Tribolium castaneum: one gene and its partners. The protein of the gene in region 2 purifies or fractionates together with the protein of the main gene of each other region. This does not show direct contact. Links are inferred from orthologs where the notes say so. Each region holds a gene or a part of one and is shown on either strand. Other genes may lie near its edges.

Region 1 (3,887 bases), on a different chromosome or scaffold from region 2:
GCAATTATTTTCCTAAAATATATTTTTGGGCTTTTTGTAAAAATTGGATAAACCTTCTGGACATAAACTTCAAATTTTAAGCTTTATGGGCAATGTCCGGCTTTCCATAAGCAGGTCATAACATTAAAAAGAGACAGTGAACACGTGTTAAATTACTGGAGATCCAAAATTCCTTCAATTATTTACAAGTGATCAAAGAATGGACGGATAGGGCCGATGGGATTTAGGGAATAACAAACAAATATGTGACGAATTTAAATTTTATTATAGTGTCTGTGCGGCGGTAACGTAGCTATTTAGGTTTTTTTAGGTATTTATTGGCCGAACATCTGGAGACGGTTGTTTGATATTTGTCATAATAAATAAATAAAAAAGCAGGTACTTACGTTTCAGGGAACTGGAGTTTATTTCTTGTTTTTTTTTGTATTCGTTCATGGTTTTTCTTAATTTAATATTCCCAGTGTAATACAGATGGTCTACAGAGTGGCATTTTTACTTGTTACCTTCTTATGAGTTTTTTATAACTTCCATCAGATCAGTAACAACTATTTACCTGATATCGTTCCAAGTATGTCATATTTCAAAGATTATTCTTTTGGTTTTATTTTTGTTCTGTATAATCTTTTATGAAAATTTGGTATTCCTCGGGAATAAATGATTTTTTGAAGACGTTAATACTTTTCAATTTGCTTGGTTGGTGACAGGAAAACTGAATTGAAATTAATTTTCAATGACTGATTACGGTATTTTTTCGGAAGGATCTAACTTTTTTTAATTTTTTTTATCGTAATTTTACTACAAATGCAATCAAATTTTGCTGGATTTTGTTCTTTATTATATTATCGGTGTAAAAATCTACCACAGTTTAATAAAAGGTTTAAAAAAAAATAAAAAAATAATAATTTGGGTAAATAATATTTATATACTATAAAAAATATAGTACTATAATGATCTTATTTTATAATAATTATTAAATTATCACTATTATCCCTCCCTAATTTTATTAAACCTCCTCGAGCAGTTCCCCCACAGTTAACAAGGAAGAAAAACGAAGAAGGAAAAGAAAGAATGGAATTTATGGTCTAATAATGTAAACATCGCGTATACTTGTCGCGTTCCAGTTAATTGATATTTCCACTGATAAGAGTAAGATAACATTCCTGTTTTAATCAGAACTTTGAATGTGGCGCGCCCGCTGCAGTGCTGTCATCTGCGCCCCACCGTTGAAATTACCAGGACAAAGTTGTTGCGATACGTCAATCGCAGTAGCCATTGTCCTAAATTTGCTTATTTGTGTATGAAATTTCTGTAATTTAACGTGTAAATTAGGGTGACAGCAAAGAAAAACAGACGTAAATAGTGGTGTTTAGAGCTATTGTTTAAAATAAATACTTCAAATATGAATCCAGAATAGTAAGTATCGATTTATTTATTTTTTGACTTGTTGGAACTACAATGTAGTATTTTTGACGTGTATTGCGCAGTTTGCGTCAGGATTTCGGTTTTTTCTCCCAATTATCATGCTTTCCAATTCGCGTAATTCGGCAAAAGCGAAGAGTTTGCATTTTACTGGTGGCGGCGATCAATTTCCTATGCGTTTCCACCCACTATTCACGGCAACTCAATTATATGCAAGTGGCACGTCACTCGCACTTCATGAGTCAACCGCTCCAACTTGTGATTTTGTAGTAATTTGAAAAAATCCGAATTCCTTGTGTTATCTCTCGGGGAAACTCCGCAGTCAAGGCTGCTCGCTGCAGGAATTTCATGATTTTTTCTCACTTTCAGCGATTACTTGTTCAAACTTCTTCTGATCGGGGACTCCGGCGTGGGGAAGTCGTGTCTATTGCTTAGGTTTGCGGTGAGTCAAAGCCAGACATTGGCCCGAACGCATTTTTATGTCGTGTTTACAGGATGACACTTATACGGAAAGTTACATTAGTACCATTGGTGTAGATTTTGTAAGTACCCACTCACTTGCCCTAACGTGCTGTTAATTGTCTGTTTATAGAAAATACGCACAATCGATTTAGACGGGAAGACTATAAAATTGCAAATAGTGAGTGGCCGAGGTAATTTCGGGCCCAACTTAATCAGTGTGCTTTCAGTGGGACACAGCAGGGCAGGAGCGGTTCCGAACGATCACCTCGAGTTATTACAGGGGGGCACACGGTATTATAGTGGTTTACGACTGCACAGACCAGGACTCTTTCAATAATGTGAAACAGTGGTTGGAAGAAATAGACCGTTACGCTTGCGATAATGTAAACAAGTTATTAGTGGGAAATAAAAGTGATCTTACTACGAAGAAAGTGGTGGATTACACAACGGCTAAGGTACGGGAGGTGGGGCCAAAGGGGCTGTTTCATGGCTTGTTTTAGGAATACGCGGATCAGTTGGGCATCCCGTTCTTGGAGACCTCGGCGAAGAACGCCAGCAACGTGGAGCAGGCCTTCATGACGATGGCTGCGGAGATCAAGAACCGGGTGGGGCCCCCGTCCTCGGCCGCCGATCAAGCGAGCAAAGTGAAGATCGATCAAGGGCGCCCAATTGAAACAACCAAGTCGGGATGTTGCTGAAAATTTAGTCACATTTGTTTGCAGGTCATCTCTTATTTTGTATGGTAGCAGTTTCCTGCTAATTTATATTATAGTAATATCCGTCTTGTATGTATAGTTATTTTAAACCTGGTTATGTTTCACTCTTTCTTGAACCTTGTTATAAATTTTAATGTAATAAACACCAATATCATTAGCCTAATTATTGATAAACACGTTTTCAGTTCGAATTTCAGCGTTTTTAGGGAGGAATAGCCAAACATCTTAACTTTTGTACTTCGAGACTTGGCTATTTGCCCTAAAAACGTGTGATTACTTAGGTTTTTCTGATTGTATCGAGTTTAATTTTGGGTTTTGTTAACACTATGTGATTTTTATTGACTTTACGCAGTATGATACAAAATTTCCCAAAGTGTTTGTTCCATGATAACGTCAGTTCAGTTTTAAGTAGGAAACACTTAGGCATGCACTTGATACTTGTAAATTATGCACACGACTCCTTTTCGTTTCCAGTCATTTTTCTACATGGGGTTGAAGTTTTAGTTTGGTAGAGGAACAAACTTACCGATGACTTAACCATTTTATAACCGTTTAAATTTTGTATGATTGCTGTGCATCTATGGTTAAACAAATCATAATAGATTGTCATTTTTGTAGTTCATATTTGTATAAGAATTATTGTAACAAGTAAAGATTAATATTCAAATCGAATAATTATTTTATTTTTATTATTAAACTTTGGTCTTATTTATAGAATTTTAAAGACAATACAATAGTAATACAGTTAATTCATACGTGGCCACTCAGTGACTACAACATATCCAAAAGGTCTTGCGTGCTTATATTAATTGACGCTTTCTTTTTAGCTTTTTTCGGTGGTTCTTCAGGCTCAGTCTTTGGCGCTGTTGAAGCTTTGTCAACAGTTTTTACAAGAATTTCACTTGGGGCCCTTTTCTGGGTCAGTCTTTTAGGCAAACTGGAAGTCAATGGAATATCGTCATCGTTCAAAAAATCAAAATCTTGGGCGGACGTTGAAGGTTTGCTTTCCGAAGGGACCGAGTTCTCTTCGTGATTAGAAGCATCATCTGAATCAGTCTTGTTGTCAATATCTGAACTGTTTGATGCTTCGGATTCTGATATAGTTTCCAATTTTTTAGTTTGATTAGTTGTTTCATTTTTTCGTTTCTTGCTCTTTACATTAACTGGCAAATTCACTGTAGGTCTGCCGTTCTTAAATGCTTCCAGCAGTTCGGTCAAGTGCTGAATACGAAATTTTTTCTCATTTAAGATTGATAAAAACTGGCCAAACTGCTCTTCCTCATCTGACTG
Region 2 (4,116 bases):
CCGGAGGGACAGCGGCATGTTTTTTGAAAAGTTCGGTGTTTATTGTCTTTAAAAACTCCCCGATTACGTTACGACTAAGACCCTCGTTTTGTCCATTTGATTTTTTCAGTCTACTTTCCATCAGAAACATAATTGACGACTCCTAATACAACTTATTAATTTTTAAACAAGCAGTGGTTAGTCCTTTCGTTACCTCTTTTTCAAATTCATAAGTCGTGTTAAACTGGATTTGGAGCAATGAATCTTTATTGAACTTTTTGCCAAGTTTTTCGCCCAGTTTGTTTTGTATTGACAAGGACCATGCCCTGTTTATTGGAACAATGTTACGATCTGAAATGTAAGCATTTCAACTATTTCAACAAGCAAACCAAACAACCTTCAAAAAACTTGGGGAACTTCTCATTCATATGAATCTCCATGCTGTGTTCCCTTATTAGAACAGCAACCGGAAAACTAATGAAATTAATAAAAGTCTTGCAATCGTACTCCTTAACACCCTCCAGTTCTTCACACTGAACCATGGATTCAAGAGTCACATCTTGGAGCAAATCGAGACAAATTATGCACGAATTCAATTTCGTCTTTTTCGCCAACTGGTCGTGTCCGTTTTGCTACAAAAAAAACCTTTAATTGTTGAAAATACGACTTTTTTTTACCTGTGGATTATCATAATCGGCTGTGTTATCGCCAACGTAGCGTAAAGCGCACCTTTTGCAACACCCAGTCTCCAATAAAAAATTGAAAACTTCGGCTTTATCACTTTCGGTCATTTTTAAATAAAATAATGTGGTGGCAAAAAGTGAGGTTAAAAACGGTGGGTTATGCAACCCATTCGACAACAATTTTTTCCAAACTTGAAAAAATCCCGTGGTGGGGAAATCATAAAAATTGTGGGTGCTGATTACTTGGCATTGTTAGATTTTCTGTACAAAGGGATTAAATTGGAATTGATAAGAGCGTGACGTAATCGTAGGACGTAATCACTTTTTCCCGATTTTTGATTTTTTATCCAAAAAAAAGGCTTGAAGGGTTAGTTTAGTTTGTTAAATACTAGAAATGAATAATTTTCTTAGAAAGTGAGCGAATTTGTCGATTTTTCGGACGGAGTGGTTTTCTGCCAGCAGCCTACATGCTTTTGACATTTGCCATGTTGATGGAAGTCAGTTAAACGTCAAGTCTTGTAGAAAATAAATAAGTTATTTGATATTTAATTAAAATGAATCGGAGTGAAGGGCTGGTGCAAAGACGAAACATAATACGTGACTCAGGTGAAGGTGTGAAAGAATCGCAGAACAATGAGAAGAAGCAGGAGCACGACGAAGACATAGACGAGGGCGATTCCAAAGAAACCCGATTAACTTTAATGGAAGAAGTATTATTATTAGGCTTAAAAGACAAAGAAGTAGGGCTTCGCCCCCCGTGTGCTCACCACACCTAACCGTGTCGTTTTTAAGGGTTACACATCGTTTTGGAACGACTGCATTTCGAGCGGTCTCCGGGGGTGTATTCTAATCGAGTTAGGTTTACGTGGACGTGTGGAACTCGAGCGGGCTGGTATGCGCCGAAAGGCGCTCCTCACCCGCAAACTTATCCTCAAAAACGACACACCTACCGGAGACGTCCTCCTAGATGAAGCTTTAAAACATCTCAAGGAAACAGATCCACCAGAAACGGTTCAAAGCTGGATTGAGTACCTCAGCGGTATGCTCCAAATGCCCCTTTCTGCCCCCAGGTTCACTTAATTGCGTGCTTTTAAGGCGAAACTTGGAACCCCCTCAAACTGCGCTACCAGCTGAAGAACGTGCGGGAACGCCTAGCGAAAAACCTCGTCGAGAAGGGGGTTCTCACAACGGAGAAGCAAAACTTTCTGCTGTTTGATATGACCACGCACCCTCTGACCGATAACGTCACCAAAAGCCGTTTAATAAAAAAGGTACGTTTTGATACAGCAGGTGGTAAAGGGTGCCCCGTTCTACTAAATAGTAGATCAAGTAGAACTTTAACGATAGGCAGGTAAAGTACTAAGAAGAGTATACGACTTACACTTGCGAATTATTCCCTAATTACATTGTCTTCATTTCTATTTTTTTGTTTTCGTTACGTTTTTACATAATTAAGTGTATTTATGTCCACAACTTTCAAAATCTTCACTTTTTTTAGTTAAGTTTTCTGGGTAGTCTATATCGTCGTATATAGAAAATATCATTTTTGCTTATAGTTTAAGTTTTTAAAATTTGTAAAAGCTTTGAAAGAGTGTAACTGAGGTAATTATGCAATACTCCTTCCCAAAGCTTTTATAAATTTTAAAATTGTAAGATATAAGCACAAATGTATGTTTCTGAGAAAAAACTTATTCTTCACCTTTTCTTTATTTTTTCCTATTTATTGAATAGTTTATTGTATTTATTTACACTCTCTGGTGTAAATTATATTCGACACCGATTGTGCATAACAAATATTTGGAAAATACTAGTCTCTAATTCGACTGCCTTGAACTAAAATGCAGTATCTGCTTTTAATCTTTCAGTAGACCAAAAAATACTTATTTAACCGGCCTCTTTGAATGACTAACTCTTTACTCATATTGTTTAACTTAAAAATATCGTTTTTTTAGGACAGTTTAAGACGTGAGTATTAAATTATCTAAAACAACGTGATATTAAAGTATAAGTGGATATTGAGGTATTTAAAATATGCAGGATTTGTCGAGCACGACGGCGTAGCCGGAGTGCTCGTAAAAGAGTTATACATGAATACTTTACGTTAGTTTTTTTATTGGTACACTTTGAAATCATAAATATTGATATTACAAATATTGAAAATAATGTAATGTGAGATCAGTTTACCTTTCGTTGCCATGGAATTGATTATCATTTTAATAAAAAATGTTAAAAAAGTTAGTATTTATTTTCACTTTTCTTGGGTTATTATGTTATTAATGTTGCCATGGACACTTTAAGAAACGTGCTGCTGTGTGCTTTAAATAAGCAAAATAGATTGCCAATAATAAACTAAAAGTTCGATTAAAAGTTATATTATTGTATAAATGTATTCTTTTTTACACCTATATGAGTTATTTTTACGTAAACAAATGGACTACGATTGACTGTCTCTAAGACATTTTGTAGATACGGTGTTTTACCTTGGGAAAAGGAATGTTTTATTACAGTTAGTGTTTATTCATTTAGAAAAAGAATTGCTAATAAGTATTTAAATGAACCTAAGCGTAAAAATAATGCTAAATATGTAAAAAACTCATCAAAAAATTTTTTGGGTACTGTGTTTTTACTTGGAATTGATTTGGTCCCATTCCCATTTTTCAACTAAAGGCCAGGATATTGATAAATTAATTACAATTGTTAATTATTTACAAATTATTAAATAATGTATATATTATTGTAATGTCACAAAATTACGTATGTATGAATTTTAGCTTGTTAATATGTTAGTTCCTGTGGGAAAAAAGGGTTTGGTTTCGTCTTAAAAAATCCTAACAGAATTAACTAACTTATTAAACTAAATAGCACGGAGGTTACGTATGTATGCAAAATTTCAGCTGGTTCGGCAGCAAAGCAAGTTAACTATTGTTTGCCCTTTAGAGATCGGGAAATACTTTGTTATTTTGAATTTAAGCAAAGTGTGTCTGAATTTCTGGCGGAGGGCTTGGGGTAAAAAACCGCTTTTTCAGATCCAGGATGCCGTACTTACGAAGTGGGTGAACGACCCCCAGCGCATGGACAAGCGGATGTTGGCGTTGATTTTCCTGGCCCATGCTAGTGACGTTCTGGAGAACGCTTTTGCGCCCCTAAATGACGACGACTACGAATTGGCAATAAAGCGAGTACGAGAGTTACTTGACTTGGACTTTGAGCAAGAATCAGTCAAACCAAACACTTCGGAGGTACTGTGGGCCGTTTTCGCCGCTTTCACGAAATGAAAATAAACTGTTTTTGCTACTAAATTTTAACTATAAATAAATTACGTTGAAATATTGAAGTTATCAGTTTTGTATTTAATGTGATGTTAGTTTGTACATTGGAAATTTTTTCTATGTGGAGTACACAGGCTAGACTAGGATAATCAGTTTCAGTGGTAATACACAGGGTGTTTAGCTTC
Region 3 (4,395 bases), on a different chromosome or scaffold from region 2:
TCGCTCGGTTTTTGCTCTTGCCAACTGGAATTTGTACGCAAGATTGTGTTTTTGCTCTCGTGTCTGGTTAGTTCAAATAAGGACTCCTAGGCCTTATTTAATGATGGTTTAGCGCCGCTTTCGTTACGGCACGCTTTTGAAGTGTGGCGTAACGGGGGCGGGGCTTGTTTTGCAACCAAAGCCTTAAAATAGCTGCCTTGTTCTACTTTTTATAGGAAAGCTCAAATTTTCATACTTTGGTAAGAACTGAAAGATTCTATAGTACAATTCGCTATTTGAATTAAAAAATTGTATAGCGTGTAAATTATTTAAAAATTGAAGAAATGGTGCTAATTCTTATTCATACGTTAAATGTGATATCCACTGAATGTCTATAAAAATTATTTCTGACTTGTTGGAGTGGTTGTTCTATTGCATTTATGTCGAGCTTTAGAGGCCTGGAACGCGAAGAAAGACCTCGATAGGCGGGGCTAGTGCGCAGTGGCGTAGCAATTAACTATTTAAATTGATACTTCCTACTATTCGTCCATATATTCAGTCGTAGCAATACAATAGGTACAAAAAGTTACATCTTGTTCTATTACACAAGAATAAAAAATTGTTATTTATTGTTTTGTAACAAAATAAATTCATAGATTGTTTGCGCACCCCCACCATCGCGGTCATTCTGTCATTTCACGGTCTCTACGGCGTCAACTGGCATTTAATTAAAAACAATTGGAATCGTTGAGGTGTTGTCACTGTGACTGAGCAGTTTTGAAATGTTTTTATGGACAGTCAGTTGTATGCAACAATAAATTATTATTGTATATTATGTACAATACTCTAGGGATTTGTAAATATAATTATATCGTCGAAGTGTAATGGTCGGTCTAAAGGTACTAACTAACCACTTGCGGGGTTTTTGTTAAGTTGTTAGATGGAAAAATTGTGAATTAGTTGAAGAGAGCAAGGAAAATTAACAAGCACTGCCTTTTTTAACTAAAAAGAATAAAAGCATTATTTAATAATCTTGCAGTAAATCAAAATAGTTTTGTAAGAGCATAATGTTTAATTTTTTTCTCAGAAAAAAAATGCTGTGTTACAATTAGTTTTAATGATACGCTCATAACTTAATGCTTAGTTAAATATTTATTACATTTCCCCTCATTCTAAAATTAATTTGTAACACCCTCCTAGCTTAAGTATGGATTAATTTAGCATATAATTTTTCTAGTCTATTGGAATTTTTTTATCGTTTAAATATATTATTGATTTAAATGTTGTTTATAGGTCATAATGTTGTTCCTTAATTATGCAAGAAAATAGTAAAAGCGTATGCACTTAGGAAATTATGATTTGAGTGCCTACATAGTGTAAATGTGTGTAAATAATTATATATTTTTGGAAACATCCCGTCTCTGATTTCCAACCTTGGGCTACGCCACTGCGTTGATGGGCAATGTGGCAGTGCACGCGCATGCGCAAACAATCGAAAATCTGACAGTTCAAAGGGGCGTTCTAATCTGCGAACAATAAAAGAAGAGTGGGTCGCCATTTTGTTCGCTATAAAATCGTAAAGATCTTACCAAAGTTATATAAAACATCCCTGACCGAAACCAAAACTTATCGTTTGAAATGTGTCTGTGATATAAACAGTGGAGTGTAAATAGCGGTATATTTGTGATATGCACTAATTGTCTGTGTGTTTTTATTTTGGTACATTTTGGAGAGGGTGCAGATCAGCTGAAGGGACAGAAAATGAGTTCGAAGGACGATGAATACGATTATTTGTTCAAAGGTAAGCGTCCAATTGGGGCCCTTGTTATCGCACTTTGACGTTGCGGACCTTGGAGGTAATTGACACTTGACGTAAATTTTGTTCCCGTGTGACAAGTCAGCAATGTCAGAGGTCAACTTTTCCAAGTCCTTACTCAAAAATAATCAATTAGAGCGGCATCAGGGGCCCCCTTCATGCCCCCTGTGCACCGGTCACGAACAACTTCAATTAGAATAATCAATGATTTTGGCTTTTAAACCGTACCTGACAGAACGGTTCAAAATGCAAATGTTTACGTGCCGCTTCCTTTGCAGTTGTCCTCATTGGAGACTCCGGGGTAGGAAAAAGCAATCTGTTGTCTAGATTTACTAGGAATGAATTTAATTTGGAATCAAAATCGACAATAGGAGTGGAATTCGCGACTCGTAGCATGCAGGTGAGTCGAACACCAATAACACAAAAGGTTACTGCATCTTATTTAGTCACGACTCGAATTTCCGTAAATATCATAGTCCCACTTGCTCAAATCTCTTACTCATATTATCAGATTCTGACAAATGCGGGTGGGTGTAAGTGGATGCATAAACAACTCAAGAGACATTATTTTCCGCTCTTTCAGTCTTGTGAAAGACGTCATAATCAGCTGGCGAAGATATCCCATTATCTTAATGCACCGTTGTGTCATTGTTGACCCACTGGGTTGTGAAAGTTGACATCCCATGGTACACATATCAGTCACCTAATTTGCATTATATTTTTTTAAATCGGAAATCTGGGTTAAGTAAGTGTTGTAGAAACGCAAAATTGAGCATAATATCCAGAACAGCTCATTTTAACACTGAACTTATGTGCGAACTATGAAAGATTACAACTGTTTTTGCTACACTCATTACAGCAACAATGAAAATGTTGCCACTAATGAGTATGACAAAGGAAAGTCGATCCCGTGTCTGTGATTCATCCATTTTTTTATCGTTGCCAATTGGGTAACAAAATTTTGATATTATCTAAAGTGCTATTCGGAAAACATGCCCCAGTTTGGCTACAATTTAATGGTAATTTGTGCTCCTATTCGTTTCTGTACATGACGTCACGCTTGATTAAGTTAATGTGGAAAATTTAATAAAGAAATTGGTGATTTTTTTCGTTCACCAGAAATACGTAATTTAAGGTGATGGGTGAAATATCGTTCGTGTTCCAGACGTAATTTCGTAATTAAATGATTCCATACAACATTCAACTTTTCGTGAATATTTTTAACCATTATTGATTAATATTTCACTGTGATTGCTTTCCTGAACGTTGAAGACTTCCTCGTTTTACAAAAAACAGTTTGTTTTGTGAACCATTTATCACATAATTTTATTATTGATTAATGTAGCCTGTTTGAAGACACAAATATAATGGTTAGTAAATAGGCAGTGGTAGATTAAAACTGTCTAGCAGAAGTTCAGACTACCCAAAACATGTTTTCGAACATTTATTTACAAGGAAATAAAATGACCCTCCACTTGTCATGAGAAATAAATTTGCGGCTCAGCCCTAAGGATATTGACCGCCATCAAACGTCAACATACAAACAGTTTTGGAACTCTTGTAAACGAAATATAGTGCAATCGATTTTTTAAGAGTTTTGCGAGGTTGAACCATAACTTGACTCTAAATAAAAAATACACTTCACTGACCATCTATTTTGTTTAAAACTTTAATAAGGTTTTGTCTCTTCAGAGTTTTCTTTATTATAAAAACATGTATCAACAAAAAAACAATCGTTTCGCATACGTTGTATGAAAATAAAAGTTTGCTCTTGTCGATCTTTTATTTATTATTCAATAATTAAATGGGTGGAGTTACACTGAATGATCTAACATTTAAGAATCTTTGAATAAAAAATTATGGAAAACCGTATGTGTTTATTTATTTGCTTGATGTCATTAAGTTTGAATTGAAATTTGTTGCATATACACTTACTAAGTGAAAAAAAAGAATAATTGAAGAAATTTTAATGTATTATCGCTATTAAAGATTCTTCAGAAGCTTTTACTCTTCTTATGAACCATCATCTAAGTTGTTAAAGATAATTTACGATATAATTAACTTATACGTTATTTTATGTGAGAAAAAATATTTAAACTCGTATCACCTTTATTTTATCCTATCAACTGACAGGAAACAGAAAAAAATGTCTGTAACATCTAATAATTCAATTCTCAGAGATGCATCAGTTTTTCCTCGGTTGTTGAGTTTGTTACATAATGATTTTGTGTAACATTGAATACCTATTAAAAAAGTGAAGTATAACTATTAAAGCTTTCTTAACGACATTTATTGTTAAGTTATAAAAAACTGTCAATTACGGTAAAAATGTGGCGTCGCGTTATTTTATTTTACTTTAAAAATTATTATTAATTACATAAGTTTTTATCAAAACCTTCGTAAGTATATCGGGCATAGTATGTTTGCTTATTACAGTTAGTTGCAATAAAATAGGAAAATTGAATTCTCTTTAGATTGTAACAATTTATCTTTATCACATTCATACAATTTTTCTGCAATGTTGCAGTTATATCTTTATTTTTTATCTTATAAGGAGACTATTGGCCCACATAATTTGATGCCTTCGTCAAATTTATCAA

What was found.
Region 1: the proteins of sau (region 2) and Rab1 purify together in Drosophila melanogaster (affinity purification with western blotting; 3 studies listed by BioGRID, with this or other methods). This does not show direct contact. The link is inferred for Tribolium castaneum from reciprocal best matches to the Drosophila melanogaster genes sau and Rab1.
Region 3: the proteins of sau (region 2) and Rab11 purify together in Drosophila melanogaster (affinity purification with western blotting; 3 studies listed by BioGRID, with this or other methods). This does not show direct contact. The link is inferred for Tribolium castaneum from reciprocal best matches to the Drosophila melanogaster genes sau and Rab11.

The regions. Positions count from the first base shown.
Region 1 is NC_087396.1:13,471,772-13,475,658, forward strand, and holds Rab1 (ras-related protein Rab-1A), read left to right. Parts: upstream 1-1,225; 5' UTR 1,226-1,399; coding exon 1,400-1,413; intron 1,414-1,788; coding exon 1,789-1,861; intron 1,862-1,913; coding exon 1,914-1,961; intron 1,962-2,011; coding exon 2,012-2,059; intron 2,060-2,108; coding exon 2,109-2,336; intron 2,337-2,381; coding exon 2,382-2,579; 3' UTR 2,580-3,272; downstream 3,273-3,887. Other genes in the region: uncharacterized protein LOC103313699, read right to left, coding at 3,369-3,887.
Region 2 is NC_087403.1:8,423,571-8,427,686, reverse strand, and holds the start of sau (Golgi phosphoprotein 3 homolog sauron), read left to right. Parts: upstream 1-1,216; coding exon 1,217-1,402; intron 1,403-1,454; coding exon 1,455-1,701; intron 1,702-1,757; coding exon 1,758-1,933; intron 1,934-3,688; coding exon 3,689-3,937; 3' UTR 3,938-4,116. Other genes in the region: tRNA pseudouridine synthase Pus10, read right to left, coding at 1-142, 194-330, 377-611, 657-770. UniProt on the Drosophila melanogaster protein: Phosphatidylinositol-4-phosphate-binding protein that links Golgi membranes to the cytoskeleton and may participate in the tensile force required for vesicle budding from the Golgi.
Region 3 is NC_087397.1:10,555,117-10,559,511, reverse strand, and holds the start of Rab11 (ras-related protein Rab-11A), read left to right. Parts: upstream 1-1,504; 5' UTR 1,505-1,740; coding exon 1,741-1,780; intron 1,781-2,073; coding exon 2,074-2,195; intron 2,196-4,395.